Linked DNA regions of Pelodiscus sinensis. The protein of the gene in region 3 interacts with the protein of the main gene of each other region in a biochemical or structural test. Links are inferred from orthologs where the notes say so. Each region holds a gene or a part of one and is shown on either strand. Other genes may lie near its edges. The genes, in order: AHR, TBP and ESR1.

What was found.
Region 1: the proteins of ESR1 (region 3) and AHR form a complex in vitro, tested with the Homo sapiens proteins (4 studies listed by BioGRID, with this or other methods). The link is inferred for Pelodiscus sinensis from reciprocal best matches to the Homo sapiens genes ESR1 and AHR.
Region 2: the proteins of ESR1 (region 3) and TBP form a complex in vitro, tested with the Homo sapiens proteins (2 studies listed by BioGRID). The link is inferred for Pelodiscus sinensis from reciprocal best matches to the Homo sapiens genes ESR1 and TBP.

What each region holds. Positions count from the first base shown.
Region 1 is NC_134712.1:202,993,439-202,998,746, forward strand, and holds the start of AHR (aryl hydrocarbon receptor), read right to left. Parts: upstream 3,272-5,308; 5' UTR 2,862-3,271; coding exon 2,806-2,861; intron 1-2,805. UniProt on the Homo sapiens protein: Ligand-activated transcription factor that enables cells to adapt to changing conditions by sensing compounds from the environment, diet, microbiome and cellular metabolism, and which plays important roles in development, immunity and cancer.
Region 2 is NC_134713.1:122,268,371-122,273,678, reverse strand, and holds the start of TBP (TATA-box-binding protein), read right to left. Parts: upstream 3,247-5,308; 5' UTR 2,824-3,246; intron 2,319-2,823; exon of another isoform or gene 2,167-2,318; intron 1-2,166. Other genes in the region: PSMB1 (proteasome subunit beta type-1), read left to right, coding at 3,435-3,535, 4,757-4,864. UniProt on the Homo sapiens protein: The TFIID basal transcription factor complex plays a major role in the initiation of RNA polymerase II (Pol II)-dependent transcription.
Region 3 is NC_134713.1:107,791,416-107,796,723, reverse strand, and holds the start of ESR1 (estrogen receptor), read right to left. Parts: upstream 3,597-5,308; 5' UTR 3,524-3,596; coding exon 3,499-3,523; intron 1-3,498.

The DNA.
Region 1 (5,308 bases), on a different chromosome or scaffold from region 3:
AAGAAAAAATGTTAAAAAAAAGTTACATTACCTGACAACATATAAGTACATCAGCTCTTATTTAAAACCATTTTTTAAGAAGTTTGACATTTGCCTGGAAGAAAAGCTGACTTCAAGGCTGTTATCCCACAAGTGTCCTGCATCTTAATTTGAGGAGAATCAGAGGCAAGTTGGATTTTTTCATAATAATGAACAAGCTTTATAACCTTTTTAAAGGTCAGCTTTGATAATCTGCTGTTACTGTCTCCGCCCCCCCCCCCTTTTTTTGGCCAAGAGTATGAACTTTGATCAGTTTTTAACTGGGCAAATAAGAACCCTCAGGCCTGCAGATACAGTGTTGCCCACAGCTGCTATCAGAATATAGATAAAAAGGCAGTATAAAATTAAACAAAGAAAGGGAAATAAATAAGTAAAGGTAGACTGAACAAACAAAATAATCTTACATAAGTTATTTGTCAATCCATCTGGATAGTAAATAATACATATAACTGTTTTTTAAACACGTTATAAGCCAATACAAAATTATGACTAGATTAAAAACAAAAATATTTAATATTTAAAAAGGTTTATTTTCCCTTTTAGTCCTAAAAAAAGGGAGCTCTTTTATGACAAAGACACCTCAAGACTAATTTTTTTAATTTAATTTCCACTCATATGTTGATTTACATAACAAAGAGTCTTCAGATTCAAATATGGTAAGTGTTGCAAATTAGAATAAAGAATATAAAATACTAAGCAACTTTAGGATCAGACATTTTTATATGAAGGTATAAAAATACTGTAGAAACAGTTTTCAGATCTGATTAGAATTTATTAGCAAACAAAGCATTAAGACCTCTGGTCAAAAAGAGCGAATAGCTATACAACAGATCCTTAAATCAAGATTTGTGTGTGCTTTAAAGGATTAGTCAAGAAAGTATGTAAACAGAGCTGGAAAGTTATTTGCAGTAGGGCAGGTGCTACTGCGCTTGCGCATAACTGTAGGAAAAGTAAGTATTTCCTATATACTTCTATATCTTGAAACAGGGTAAGTATTTCCTATATACTTGTATATCTTGAAATAGGGCAACTATTTCTCTCTAAATTATAGATTTATATTGCTTAACAGTTCTATAACTTCTATATTTTAGCTTGGAAGTGACTAGCCGCATTTACATTAAGTAATTTACTGACACTTCTGCAGAGTTTTGGTAGAAATCATCATATACATTGCTTTTCACTGATTAATTCACTCCACAAACATAACAGAATTTCACTTAAAGCAAAATATCCATGTATAGAAATATTTCAATAGCAGCTGCTGTGGTTGAATATGCATTCAACTGATCCAAAACAGGGAGCTGAATGATATAAAGGAATTTGCTTACTCAAGTATGTTAGAAGTAGTTGTCTTTTCCCCCTCATCAGCTCAGTAGATTACTTCATAAATTTGTGGTTAATTTATGCATCTTTATGTAGTAGATAAATGTGAAAGTTAACAATTTCCTTTAAAATTAATTTCAGATTAAAGGAATCTGCTAGTGAATCAGGTACAGCCTTGGGCCCAATCCTGTCTATACTTGTGTAATAAAACTAGCTTTACTCAGGCAACCAAATAATAATTTTATTTTTTTTAAGATGCGGCAATAGTTTCTGATTTTTATGTTTGCTTGGCATTAAATGAATATAAATTATAATGGCAAAATAAAAAAACTTTAGGAAAAAACTATTTAAATATTCCCAAAACAGGATGACATGATTACACATGATCTATTGTCATGTCCCAAGCACCTTGTCAGAGACATCCACTTTCAGAAACCATCACTCTAGATATATTACATTTTAGGGGGTGGCAGGTAGTGGATCTAAAGTATAAGACTTCATACAGAGTGTAAGTGATTAGTTAAAAGTCACAGTACCAGACAAAATACAGGACTATGTAACACTTTAAAGACTAACAAGATGGTTTATTAGATGATGAGCTTTCGTGGGCCAGACCCACTTTCTCAGATCACCAGAAAGGACACCAGAAAGTACCAGACAAATACACTGCAGCAGTGACTTGTAACCTACACACATATCCAAGTGGGGACGAGAAGGGGCAGCCGTGCACCCAACACAACTACACATACACTCGCCGCAGCGCAGCTAAGCAAAACAAGAAATTGCTCCATCACTGTGACCAACAGGACTTTTTTTTTAAAACTGCATGTGTCGTTTAATTACGTTTTCACAACTAGTTGAACTGGTGGGAGCTCGGGTAGCCATCGCTAGGGACAGCCACCTTAAATGCTTCCTAGTCTAGGTCAGGTAACCCAGCCACATTGAACCTAAAGTCATTTCTTCTTCCTTCCTTCCTCCCCTCCCCCGCACCCAAGTCCTCATTCTCCCTTTTAATCACCATCCTTACACAACTGGGTCATCGGTGCCTGTTCACAACAGGACTCTGAACGTAACTAGCTACAGACTTCCCTGTTGGGGGAGGAGGCTGAAAAGGGGACCTCCCGGAGCCCCACGACTAGTCACGCCTACGCCCAGCGTTGTGGCAAGGGGGCCCCAAAGCCGCCGAGAGGGGAAAAAAGCCCCGCAAAAGCGCACCAGGCACTGCAGCAAACGGCCCCCGGGTAACCCCTGCCTGCGGTGCTGCAATCCCCCAGCTCCCGAGGCCCAAGCGCAGCGGGCTGCAGACTCCCACACGGCGCTGGGGGAGCGGGGAGCCGCTGCGGGGGGCGCAGCCAGGGGCCGGTTTGGGTGAGCCACTGACAGCCCCGCTAGGGCCAGGAGCTTCCCCCCGCCGCCCCTGCTCCGCCCAAGCTCGTCTCTTACATTTTCTGCACCGGCTTCCGCCGCTTGCGACTGGCGTAGGTGACATTGGGGTTCATCCTGCCGCCGCGGCTCCCCGCACCGCAGCCGCGAGTCCCCGGCGAACCCGCTCGGCGCCGCAGCCCGCAGCCGCCCGGCCCTGCCCTGCCCGTCTGCAGCGCGCCGAGCGCGGCTCCGCTCGGCCGAAGGAAGGCGGGAGCCCAGGTGATCAGCGCCGGCGACACCCACCAACCCGCTGCGGCCCCGGGGACAGGTGCGGGGGCGGCCGGGGCTTTCCAGATCCCCCTGCCCGGCAGCGGCGGCTTCTCCTGGCGGGGCAGATGGAGGCCGAGCCAGCAGCGCGCCCCGAGGCTGCCGCTGCAGGGTGCGACGATGCTTCTGCCCCGGTGCGGCCGCCGCGGGCCAGGCAAACGTCTGCCACAGTCCGCCGCCCCCGGCCGCTGCCGCCGCGGTCGCAGAGCCAGCCACCCAGCAGCCCGGCCCCTGCTCTCCACGCCCCGCGGGGGGAGGCTCCGGCGGCGGCCTACGTGAGGGAGCCGCCTGCGCCGCCATGTTGGGAAGGTCAGGCCCGCGGACATGCCCCGAGAGCCGCCTCCCGCTAGGAACAGCCCGCCCCGCACGCAGCTGGACGCCGCCTCGCTAGCGCCGCCAGCAAGGACAATGACCCGGCCCCGGACCTTCCGACAGGCCCCGGCGCTGCTCGCGTCCGGGCACCGCCCGTAGCTCCACAGCAGCGTGAGCAGCCGCCGCAGGGAGGCAGGAGCGGGGTGCTGGTGGGGCCTGGGCCTGCTCTGAGTCCTGCGGTGCGGGGGAAGGAGGGTGGCTCGTGCTCTCCCCTCAGCCCATGATTTCCCCTGTTTCGTTCGGGGTGTCAGAGGCGCAATCAGCCGTTGTGGCTTTACATTTTTAAAGGAAAAACAAAATTATTGCAAGCGATACGGGCTGCTAAAGCGCTCCTCCGTCTTGCTGTTCAGGCACAATTGTGCCCTTTCGTTAAGGGCTGTGAAACAATGAAATCCTGTCATGGTTAAGTGTGAGATTTAAAAGAAATAATTATTGGCGGTTTGTCATACTGTTACATGATCCATGTATTCTACTGGTGTTTATTTATGTTTACATTTGCAGAGATTTCAATTGCATAATGTACAGTGCTCATTCTATATTTTTATTTGCACTGTAAAAAGATAATTGTATTTTTCAGTTCATCTCATACAAGTACTGTAGTGCAGTGTCTTTATTGCAAAAATAATTCCACTATTCCATTAATTCCACTAAATTGCACTATTGTTTTACATAACTGCACTCTAAAATAAAATATTAACATGTCATCTGATAGGGTGGCTGAAGTATGAAGAGGCATATAAATATTTAGCAAGTCTGGCATGTAAATTTACCTTGCAACATTGCCTTCAAAGAATCTCTGTTCTCACTTTCAGGTGGCATTGTAAATAAGCAGGCAGCATTATCCCCCATAAATGTGAAACTTTGTCTTAGCCAATTGCTAACAAGAAGTTAGGACTGACTGAGTGGACTTGTACGTTTTTTAAGATTGACCTTGTTTTGTTTTTGAGTGTAGTTATGTAACTAGAAAATTCTACATTTGCAAACCACTTTCATGATGAAGGAACTGCACTATAGTAGTTGTATGAAGTGAATTGAAAAATACTATTTCTTTATCTTTTTACAGGGCAAATATCTTAAATACAAAATAATATAAAGTGAGCACTATTCACTTTGTATTGTGTTGTAATTGAAATGAATGTTTGAAAGTATAGAAAGGCATCAGATATTTATAATATATTCCAGCTGGTATTCTTGTTTAACAATGTGATGAAAATGGTGACTAATTGCTATATTTTTTTTAAAATCAAGTTATTTCTCTTGACTTAATCACAATAAACTCAAGCAATTAACAGTTCTAACTGCCTATTTTTTCTTCTCCCTTCTACATATTCATTTGAAGAGAAGGCCAATTGATAGGCAAGGATGACAAATAGGGGTAGCTCAGTGTGCAGCAATGCATAGGATTGACTAAAGTAATTGATTAAAGTAATTCAGATCAGCAAGGTTCTTTTCCCCCAAGTAATAATACAGTTTGTCAAAACTCAGCCAGTGGCAGCAGTCTCTAACTAAAAAGCAAATTATATACAAGTCTGTGCTAAAATAAAAACCCTGCTTACTTGCAGTGAAAGAAAAGGACCCAATCTTGCTCCCATTGAAATCACCTGCACAGTTCTCATTGGTTTCCAGGGAAGCATGGGCCTCCAAAAGAGAAATGAATTAAAGAGAAACATATTTTTCTTGCTTTTAGGTTTCCCCAGCACTGTTCATTTTAGAGTTCTCTACTTCAGCCACAAGGAGTGAGAAACTGAGGCAGTGTCTTTGGTGTTGCTTACAGGAGCTTGCCAGAGTGTAAGGATTAAAACAATTGGTAACCCCATCTGCATATTTGTTCTGGGGTTATTAAAACCAACACAGGATTCTGCAAATCTTTCTGTTTGGGTTT
Region 2 (5,308 bases), about 14 Mb from region 3:
ATAGGGGCGCTTGTACATTTCAAAGGAGGAATGCAGAACGCTGCGTGCAGCCTGGGGCCAGCGGGAAGTCCCGCTGACTGGGCTGCACGCAGGTGCCAGGTTTGAAATGTTCAAGAGTCCTCGGGGGTGGGGGGGGGGGGGGGGGAGAGGAGGGAGCTCTTGGGCATTTCAAAGTGGTAGGGCAGCATAGAGCCTGGGATCAATGGGGAACTCAGAACCCCTGCTGATCCCAGGCTTTATGCTACCCTGCCACTTTGAAATGCCATGCGGAGCTGGGATCTCCCCAGCTGACCATGGGTTCAGTGCAGCATGACCCAGGGTTCCGGGGGAAGCTGGGTACTACCCAGCTGATCCTGGGTTCTGGGGAAATGCAGTGCTGTAGTCCCCAGTTGACTCCAGGCTCCACACGCAGCAGCGCAGCACAGCTGAGCTGAGGATCTGCTGTGTAGCTGTCCCTTTGCAGCAGTCAAAGGGGCAGCCCCAAGCAGCAGGGCTGCACAGCTAATCCCGGGTTCAGCTGTGCGGTGTAGCTGCTTTGAAGTACCGTCCACTCTCACCCCCTTTGTTGCCTCTATCTGATAGAGGAAGAAAGTGTGGGGGGGAATCATTTAGTCGTTTTCTTATTGGATAGTCGACTAGTCTTTAACATACCTAGTAACAACACTGAAGCTAAGAATAGGTGATCTTTTATGTGATCACAAAATATATTACCACTACACTTATTCATAAAGCTACCATCCATAAAGTATCCAACACTATGTGTTTTGGCAGGGAGAATTATCCAAGTGAAAAGGACCAAATACAACACTACCCTCCCCCCAACAGATAAACATGCCTCCCATAGCACTGCAACTTTAAAATGACAGAACATTTTCAGAAGTGTAGTCTAAATACCAAGGATTCCTGGGTCTGCATAAGTAGAAAGACTAGATAAAAATCTTGCCACACAGTGTAAGTATGGTCTGTTTTGATTTTAGCTACTTTTGTGCAAGGAACAAATTCCACAAGCAAGGGATTTCTGAGGACATCCTGGCTTCAGCATCACTAAGCTTCCCCCAATACTACTATGCATGATTACTAATAATGTATATGAAACTATAACAAGAGGAGCAATTTAAACATGAATGGAACATATGTATTTGTTGAGAGCCTGAACCAATACAGTACTTCTATAGAAAGAATATCCCACTAACTTCAATGGGAGGTTTGGCTATGTAATAAACTTAGTAATTGCATAGCACTTTTAATTTTCAAAGCACTTAACACTAACCTTTATAACAACCACCTAACAACAAACATACTTATGTTACCCCAAACTTGCAAAACCGTAACAAGACTCAATTTGTCTGCCTTTTCAATATGAGGACGATCATATAAACACCCCAGGATATATTATTTAGCTAACAAATCACTCATTTCTTCAAGCTATGCTATTTGGTGACCCTAATTTTCCAACACTGCACTGCTCCCATTTTGCAGATGGGGGAGGAGACAAGGCAGTTTAGTGACTTGCCCAACATCACACCAAGAGAGTCAGCGTCACGGTGCAAATCAGACCGGCGGTGGCCGGAACACTACGGTGATCAGCTTCCCCAGCTACCCTGAGCCCTTCAAGGCCCCCCAGCCTCTCTCCAACTCCGCTACGCAAACCGAAAGGCTCAAGAAGGCCTGAGCCCCAGAGAAACGCAGAGAAAGCGCTGCCGCTTCTCTTTGCCGTAGAAGGGGTTTATACGGGGCAGCGCTTCTCCGACAAGCCCCAGACACGTCGCGCTCCGCTCGGGGAACGCGCTTGTGCCGGGGGCCATGAGAGCTCGGCTCCGCGCGGCGCGGCCGGGCAGGCTCCCGGGGCAGCGGGAAGGGGCCGAGCCTGGTCCCGGGCCGCTCCGCACTAGGCGAGGCCGTTGGAGGAGACGCGGCCGCGGGGCAGGGCGGGAGCCGGGTGCGCTGCCCGCGCGGGGCCCGCAGGCGGGAGCAGCCGGGCGAAGGGGCAGGCCCGGGACGGCGAGCGCCAGGCGGCGGCTGCCGGAGCCTGCCCGGGACGGGGAGGGAGACGCGCCCGCAGCCCCGGGAGCGGCGCCAGGACCCCGCTCGCTGGAGCCGCCCCCGGGCCGGGCCCCGCCGCTGCCTCGCGGCCCGGAGGCTCCGCCCGGTTGAGCGGCTCGGTACCTGCCGCTCCAGTTCCCTCCAGGCGCCGCACAGACCCGGCGGTGGCGGCGACCCCACCTGCAGCCCGGCCTCTCCTCCTCCGGCGCGCGCATAACGCGTCACTTCCGCCAGGAACTCCCGCTCTCCCTTTTCCGCAGTGGCCATTTTGAGTGAGGGCAAAGCCAAGAAGCGTGGGGCGGGACGGAGAAGCCAAGCCCAAGGAAAGCGCCGATCAGTGTGTCACGGGCGCGGGCGCCACTGGGGTTGTAGATTGAACCCAGTGCCCACAAATAAAACTCAACAACGCGAAAACCATCCGCTGCAGATTCCCACAGCCCCGGGATGCAGCGCAGCCCGCAGCGATTGCAATCCCTGCCCCCACCCCATGCCTGCTTTTCGTCACCAACTTCCACTGCCCTAGAGAGCCAGGCCTGGACAGAGTTGCCACCTCTGAGGAACAAAATAGGGGGCAATGCGGGATGATCTGTAGCCTGTGAAACCGGACAGCTGCCTAGCAGTGTGTCCTGAGCACCCAGCCTACAGATTGCTTGGGGCAGCCACGATCCAGTGAAAAGCTGGACAGAGGGGAGCCAAAGTAATGAGGGGAAGTCACACAATCTCGATTTATGCAGATTTAGTTTCTGGGCGGTTCAAAAGGCAGCCTCCGTGCTATTGTACCTGCTTTAAAGGAGGAGAAAATGATAAAACTCTGTCCTCGATGCCACACGCTGCTCCGCACTAGCCCTCCAGCAAGGCAGCCTGCAGGATGGCGGCCTCTGCTTTTATGCTTCTTTTAAAAATGATCTGCACTGCAAGCAGGCTCCAGTTGCTGCATGTGCTGACCAGTTTTCCAGGACTAGTGCCTTTCTGTAGCAACTCAACACTCCAGATTACTTTTGTTTTCAGTTTAAAAATCATGTAAATGCAGGTTTCATCGGGAGTGTAAATTAATCCAGTTGATGCTGCTTTGGGTGGCTGTTTCTTTCTCTAATCCGACAACTGGCCATGATTTCGTGTAACTGTCTTGAAAGCCTTGGTCGCACGATCCCTTCCAGCTCCCTGCTAAACCCCCTGCTTCCTCTTGGCTTTTACTCCCACACAAACGTTCACTCCTCCCGCCTGCGGGGGGCGCATCCGGCGCCGGGCCAAGCCGAGCGCGGGGCAGACGAGATCGGGCCAAGGTGAGGCTAGAGCGGACGCTGCTGGCGAAGGGAGAAGTTCCGGTTCCGGCGCCGCCATTTTGCCGTGAGACAGCAGCCGCCCGCCGGCTCCCAAGCGCGCGCGCCAGGATGTTGTCCACAGCCGGCTACGCGGAGCCTCGGCCCGGGATGGGGCAGCAGCTCGGCGGCCCCGCGCAGCACCGGTTCTCCCCCTACACCTTCAACGGCGGGTAACGAGCCGGGCCCGCCCCGGGGCCCTCAGCCCCGCCGCTTTCGCTTTCTCTTCCCCCGCCCCCGGACCCCGCAGGGGAGCGCACAGACACCCCGGGGCTTCCCCGCCCCCTGCGCTTCCGGAGCGGCTTTGCCTCGGGAGGCGGGATGAAAGGACCCTCCTGTAACGGGGGCTCGGGGCAGCGCGTCGCTTTGCGTTCGGCCCAAGCGGCCGCGCCCCTGCCCCAAGCTCTGGGCCCCGCACGACGCCAGCCTGGGACGCCCCCGCAGCGCCTGTTGCGTGTCCGTGGAAAGGCTGCTGTTAAGAAAAGCAGCTTTGGAAACCGCTTTTCTAACGGCGCCCTGCAGAGCAAAGGGATGTTAGACGTGGGGGAGCAGTTGTGTAACCACATGAAATCTTTGCTGCAGCCCCACTCCCCAGGAAGCCCCCTGCCACCTCATGATGCTGCTGCCTCTGTCTCAGAGGCAGCAGTGCTGGGTGGCAGGTGGGAGCCAGTTAAAAAAACAGCTCCGGGAGCTGCCTGCCACTGTGACTGATCGACAGAGGCAGCAGTGTGGGGTAGAAGCAGCCCCTGTCTGTTGGGGTCCAAGTTCCCTGCAAACAGGCTGTTGTGGGGATGGGGAGAGCTGCTATGAAGCAGCCTCTGTCCTTGGCAGCTGAGACAACACGGTAAGAGGAAGGTGGCACTGCAGAGCCAGTGCTAAAGGGGCCTACCTTCAAATCAGGTCCCCTCCTGTGGCAGCTAGTGCTTCCCCCCCCCCCCCACTCCTGCTGCCTCAGAATATTCAAAGCTTGTCCACCACCACAGACTAGGGATGTTAAAATGAGGGTAATTGGGTAACAGTGTAACCACTGAAAATCTCAGCAGTTACATGCAACTACAGTATGATACAACAGCCAAAAGCTGGCTTTCTAAGACGGTTCCCAGCATGTGCCAGTTCCCACCTGCAGCCCAGCTTTTGGTGAGCTGGCTGCCACCCCTGTGCTTCTGCCTCTGATGGAGAGTGGCAGCTGCCTCCCAAAGAGCGGGCAGAAACCTGTGTGTAACGGAACAGTAACAGATTAGCCCAGAGTCACTGGTTAACTGTTAACCGTTTACATGATTATGCCTTTACATCCCTAATATATAGACATGAAGCTGCTAGGGTGAAGATGTTTTTTTTAGGTCTAGAAATCTTGATTATATAATGATTATAAATTAGTCCTCATTTTCTTTAAGCACTGTGCTGGCGATTGCTGGAGAAGATTTTTCTATTGTTGCCTCAGACACACGACTGAGTGAAGGTTACGCAATTCACAGCAGGGACAGTCCAAAATGCTATAAACTGTAAGTTTTAATCTTATTGTATGGCATCCTTGGAAGATTGAATGACTAGCATTTTCATTTGTTGCCCTAGAAAAACATTCCAGTAAGATAGGAAGTGCATTTGTAAGGGTTTGTTTTGGCTTCTGTTGTGATGCTGTTAATGAGATCAAGTTTCTTAGTTTGTGTTTTGTTGCTTGAATTTCACTGACACCTGAAGTTTTTGGTTTCCTAATTGTAGCAGCACTCATGAGTTGTCATGACTAGCTTTGCCTATTCCTGACACTGAGTAGTTGGAGCCACTGTGATACCTTTGACTGTATAGCAAATACATTAATGGTCTATTATTTCAATAGACCATGTGGCACTTCAGAGCTTCCTCTCAGAGATCAGCAGTAAACTTGTCAGCAGTTCCTCTATCAATCTTCTTCCATATTATTCCTGTACTTCCTTCAGTCCACCTGGATA
Region 3 (5,308 bases):
AAGCGATTATATTCAAATACGGTACCATGGCAGCATGCATGAAGTGTGTGTGTAGGTTGATTGTCTTGCCCCACTTTTTCTGCTCACCCTCTGCCTATAAAGGACCAATCTCAACCACAATCCTTTCTCCCCCTGTATATCTTTATATTCTCTCTGGTCCCCCGTCTCTTTCCTCTCCCCACCATCTTGACTGTCTTCTGAGAATGGTGCATGTTACTGTTCAGAGACAGCTGGACACCTATTCCTTTCTATGAGCTGCCTCTGTTCGCAGCCCTGGGTGGCACAGCAGGGCTGAGGGACTCAGTAGCAATGGGAAGGGATAGGCAAGAGAAACTGGTTGCCTCAGCAGAAGCCCAGAAGTACTCTCTAGTAGCCAGGAGGAGGAGCTGAAGGAACACTTTGCTCATTATCTGCTGCACTGCTTATGAGTGACATCTCGGCTGGCTGGAGTGAGACAGTATCAGCATAGATACCTGTGATGTTCATTCCACATGAGTGGCATTTTTCAAGTTTAAGTGAGGTGAAACCAAGAACAGAGGACAGAACATGAGGGAAAGGAAAATATTTTAGAGTTCATGCACACGTCACCTGATCCTACTCCCACTGAATTTATGGTATGGTCTAATCTCACAGCTGCAATTTTTTTTTTTTGTCTGTTTGTTTTCTAATGAAATTTTAAGTAACAGTGGAGGAGAATGGATAAGTAGCAAAGAAATTAAAATAGCAGAAAACAAGGAAGCAAGACATAAATGATAACAGATCCTCCAATTACTTACCTTTTATTTGTGATTTGTATACTGCATTATATTGCTGTTTCATGGGGAAATTGCCATATTTCTTTTAATTTGGGGGCAGGCAAGAAAGTGCTGAGATTCCACTGGGCTGAATAAGTAGAGCCATAATATTGTATAGCTGCTAATGGGACTTGTCTCGCTATTCTGGGCATGTTAATGTTAGGCCCCTGCTATGGTAAGAGCTGACACCTCCTAGAACAGGGCTACTCAACTTTGGAAGCCCCGGGGGCCACATGCTGAGGGCCACAACTTAAGTGTGGCTGTATATACATGCAAATATATATGCAAATATATGCAAATAGCTCCTTTCACACTGATGAGCATGAATACAAAGATTAAGGTAATACTACACAATGCACAGGCCCCATTTGAGTCAGTTCTGCTGATATTAATAAAATGCAATATTTACCTGATTTCCACCCATATGACAGCACTTTTAATGAGCAATGACAGTCCAGGAATTTAACTGCTAAAACACATATCAACAGAAGACCATTATATTGACTACTTTTTTGTTTTGGCTCCCATCCATTGGCCACGTATTGAGCCCCACGTAAACCCAAACTGTGCCAGACAGCACAAACAAATGGGCTTCAGGCCGCATGTGGCCTGCAGGCTGCGTGTTGAGTAGCCCTGTCCTACAAAATGCAGATCATCCTCAGTTCCTATGGAAGTCAGTGGGAGTTAAGGGCACTGAACACCAGGGAGGAATTGCTCAGGATCTTGAAGGAACAGTTTGATTTGGTTAAATACAATTAGAAATATATTTTAAAATTTTATGAACAGACATAGTTGCTTAAATGGCAAAAACTGAATACATTCCCCTTCCCAGCCTGTTCAACTTTGACACAAAGGTGTTACAATAAATTACAATTGTTCCTGACTTCGCACTCAAAATATTAGTAACTTTGCTTCCTGATGTTCACTCAAATAGTCTGTTTTGATTTTGTTTTCATTTCTGAATATCATGCACTAGCACGTGGCTGTTGTATTTGGGTTCTCAACACCACAGAGTGGAATATTTAAATAGAACAGATATCTGAATACATTGCTATCTTTCATCACATATATTGAAATGAAGGGCTGGATTAAAAAGGCAATGTTCCTCACCTATTTTTTTCCTTATTCTAAAACCTTCCATTTGTGTATGATGTCTGCTTTGTAGCTTTTGACAAGAACTCTAGTTGATCCCTTTTTCTTTACTATCTTGATGTTTCCATTTAGATTTATAAAATTTTGGGTTTATTGTTTTGGATCTTAATAAAACACCATATAAAACAACCTCTTTTCATTTAAATTTAAACAATGAGAAAATTCTATTCATATTAAGTCTGAGAATTTTCATCTTAAAAAAGAAAAAAAAATCCAAAAATTATGAGACAAACAGCCAGTTAAACAGAACTAAAATGTACAGAGACACGTTTTCTGCAGTACAGTATAGAAAAAATACTAAGAGATATGTTCATGCTTCTTATCTCTTTTCTTCTGTGAAACTGGTTCATTACATTTACTTGAGAGATGCCTTATGATTAAGTATATATCACAGCTATGCAAAAATAAATACATAAATAAAGTAACAGAAGCTCTCATGGAGGCCTTTTACCTAAAAGGGCTGCAACATGGGATGGGGCCTGATATAAAGCCCACTGAAGTCAATAAAAAGATGCCAGTTAACTTCAGTGGGTGTTGGATCAGGCTCTCACTACCAAGTTTACCTTCAAATTCTATGCAAAACCTGAAACTAATTTTCAAAATGAAAATAGTCCTTCAAAGATTATCTGTAAACTTCAAAAAGTGTGTTGAAATAATAAAGTAGTCACAGCAAAATGCTATATACATATGTGCCATGCGGGAAAACAAATATGTATCATCTCAGAAAAAAAAGTTCACAATGTGAAAAGAAGGCTCAAAATAATTAAGAGATAGTCTTTGCTTATTAAGCTGTTAATTTTGTGCCAGAAATCCTATTAAAGGAAAAGCTGGTACTCAGATAAAGACCCTCTGTTTGAGAACGGGTTAAAGAATGTACCCATAATTGAAAAGAAAGAGAAAAATATTGTTATATTTACTATTTAAATATCATATCCTGTAAATAGATTTCAGCATCTATTAGGATCAAAATGTAATATTTACATTCATTAAAGGGTACAATGTAGCCTTTGTGATTCATGAAAGTAATAAATTCATCACCCACGAAAGATGCTGTATTCCTTCTCTTTATAGATATCTACAGTATTGTGTCTTTGAAATGAATTTATTGAACCTTTTAATTATTCAGTTTAATGCAACTGGTTGAGACAGGCTCAAGAGAGCTAATAATTTCATTTATAACTGTTCTCCTAGCTGATCAGTTTTGGCTGAAAGACTCATGTGACTATGTCTGGAGCTTGAGCACAGGGTAATTTTTAGGCTATGGCAGATTTAATGCTAAATAATACTGAATAAGAGATTTTCACTGTACACTTATTCCATACTTAATGACAACATTTGGAATGCATTCCCTTGTTTTTTGCTGCTTTTTGCTGGACACGGAAAACAAAGAGACAGTAAATAAAATTGACGTTAGAAAAAGAGTTACAATAATACTTGTAAGCATTCCCATGGGCACCATGAGGTGTGCGCAGCAATGTTTTGAGTAAAAACAACATGTAAAAGTGAGCATGAGGGAAAGAAACTGAAAAAACTGAGAGCTATTTTCACTTACATTTATCCAAGAAGGCTGTTGGCATTACTTCTGGAGTGCTGTAATTGGCTGAGAAGGTCACATGACCCCCCTGAACTAAAATAGAAACTCTTCGGTAGAGGGAAACTGAAGCAGCAACAGGTCTGAGACAAAATACATGTTAAATTATATAGCACACATATTTCAGACTGGAGTGTTTAATTTCTAGGGAAAGTACAGTAAACTTCCGATAATCCGTCCGACCCAGGGGGTGCCAGATTATCAGCTATGCCGGACTATCGGAAGGGGGGGCTATGAGGGGTTTAGGGTGGGGTGGGGGGGATGCCACCCCAGACCCCTCATAGCCCCCCCTTCTAATAGTCCGGCTCTGCCCCAGGCGTCCCCAATTCAGCCGCTGCTGGTCAGTTTCAGCAGCAGCTGAATTGGGACACCTGCAGCAGAGCAGCTAGGGTGCTGCCGGGTTGGTCCGGTAGCACTGCCCCTTGGCGCTGCAAGATCAACCCGGCAGCACCTCAGTTGCTCTTGGGGTCATCTGGGGCTGAGCAGCTGGGGTGCTGCCAGGTTGGTTCCACAGCACCAAGGGGTGGCGCTACTGGACCAACCCAGCAACACCCCAGATGCTCTGCCCTAGGCGTCCCCAAGTCAGCCGTCGCTGAAACTAACAAGCGACTGACTCCGGGAAGCCCGAGGCAGAGCTGCTCTGCCCCTGGCTTCCTGGAGTCAGCCGCTGGTCAGTTTCAGCAGCAGCTGAATCGGGGATAGCTGGCGTGCTGCTGGGTTGGTCCCGCAGCGCTGAGGGGCAGCACTACAGGACCTACTGGCAGCACTCCAGCTGCTCTGCCCCCGGCTTCCCTGATTCAGCCGCTGGTCAGCTTCAGTAGCGGCTGAATCAGGGAAGCCAGGGGCAGAGCAGCTCCAATGGTCCGGCTGCCTGGAGCACTTCCGGGTTCCTGATGGTGCCGGACCATCAGGAGTGCCAGACCATCAGATGCCGGACCAATGGAGTTTTACTGTATTGTCCATTGGTTTGAAAAGGTGATCTCCAGTAGGCCAGATTACCCTTAGACTATGACTTTGATATTCCCAATATCACTCTTCTTTTCAACCCATGGGGGAAACAGTTTTCTACTATAAATTTCAGCTCACATCAGTGTATAATTGCAACTAGTGATCGCATTAACAATTTTTAAAAAATTACCAAGATCTTTTTAAAAATAGGATCTGGTTAATTTAAGCACCAAAAAAGCTTCTACTATTCTAGCTGTTTTCATTCTCTGTCTAAGGTTTTATTAACTCAGTCATATTTCTGGTATCGAAAAAGGAAGTCATAAGAAAAATAAGTATTTTCTTGAGGTAATTGACTGCACTATACAACATATGCAGCAGAGCAGTCCAGTTTTCACATTCTTTCATAAGTAAAACTTATGGTTACAAAACTACAAATTACTAAAACATGTGCCATAAATCTGCAAGTTATAAATAAAGATAAAGTGCAAAAGATCCCAAACTAACAAACTGTACTGATTCCTAACAGCTAAATGCAGATTACTTATTTTGATAAAACACTGTCTGATTTCAAGGTTAATGCTTAATTGCAACATTCAAAAAAGCAGCTTTTCCAGACACTTCATTTGAAAAGATTTAGGCAGATAATGCAATGACACAGTAGTATGAATTACTACAAATCACCTAGGTAACTTTCACATCAGGAAACTTCTTTACAATTTACTCAGGTTTCTTGCTGAGTTTTTTAGACTGATGCAGCTTCAACTTGATAAATTTCCAAGTGTCTTTTTTGTTTTATATTTCAGCCATTTATATTACTGAAGGG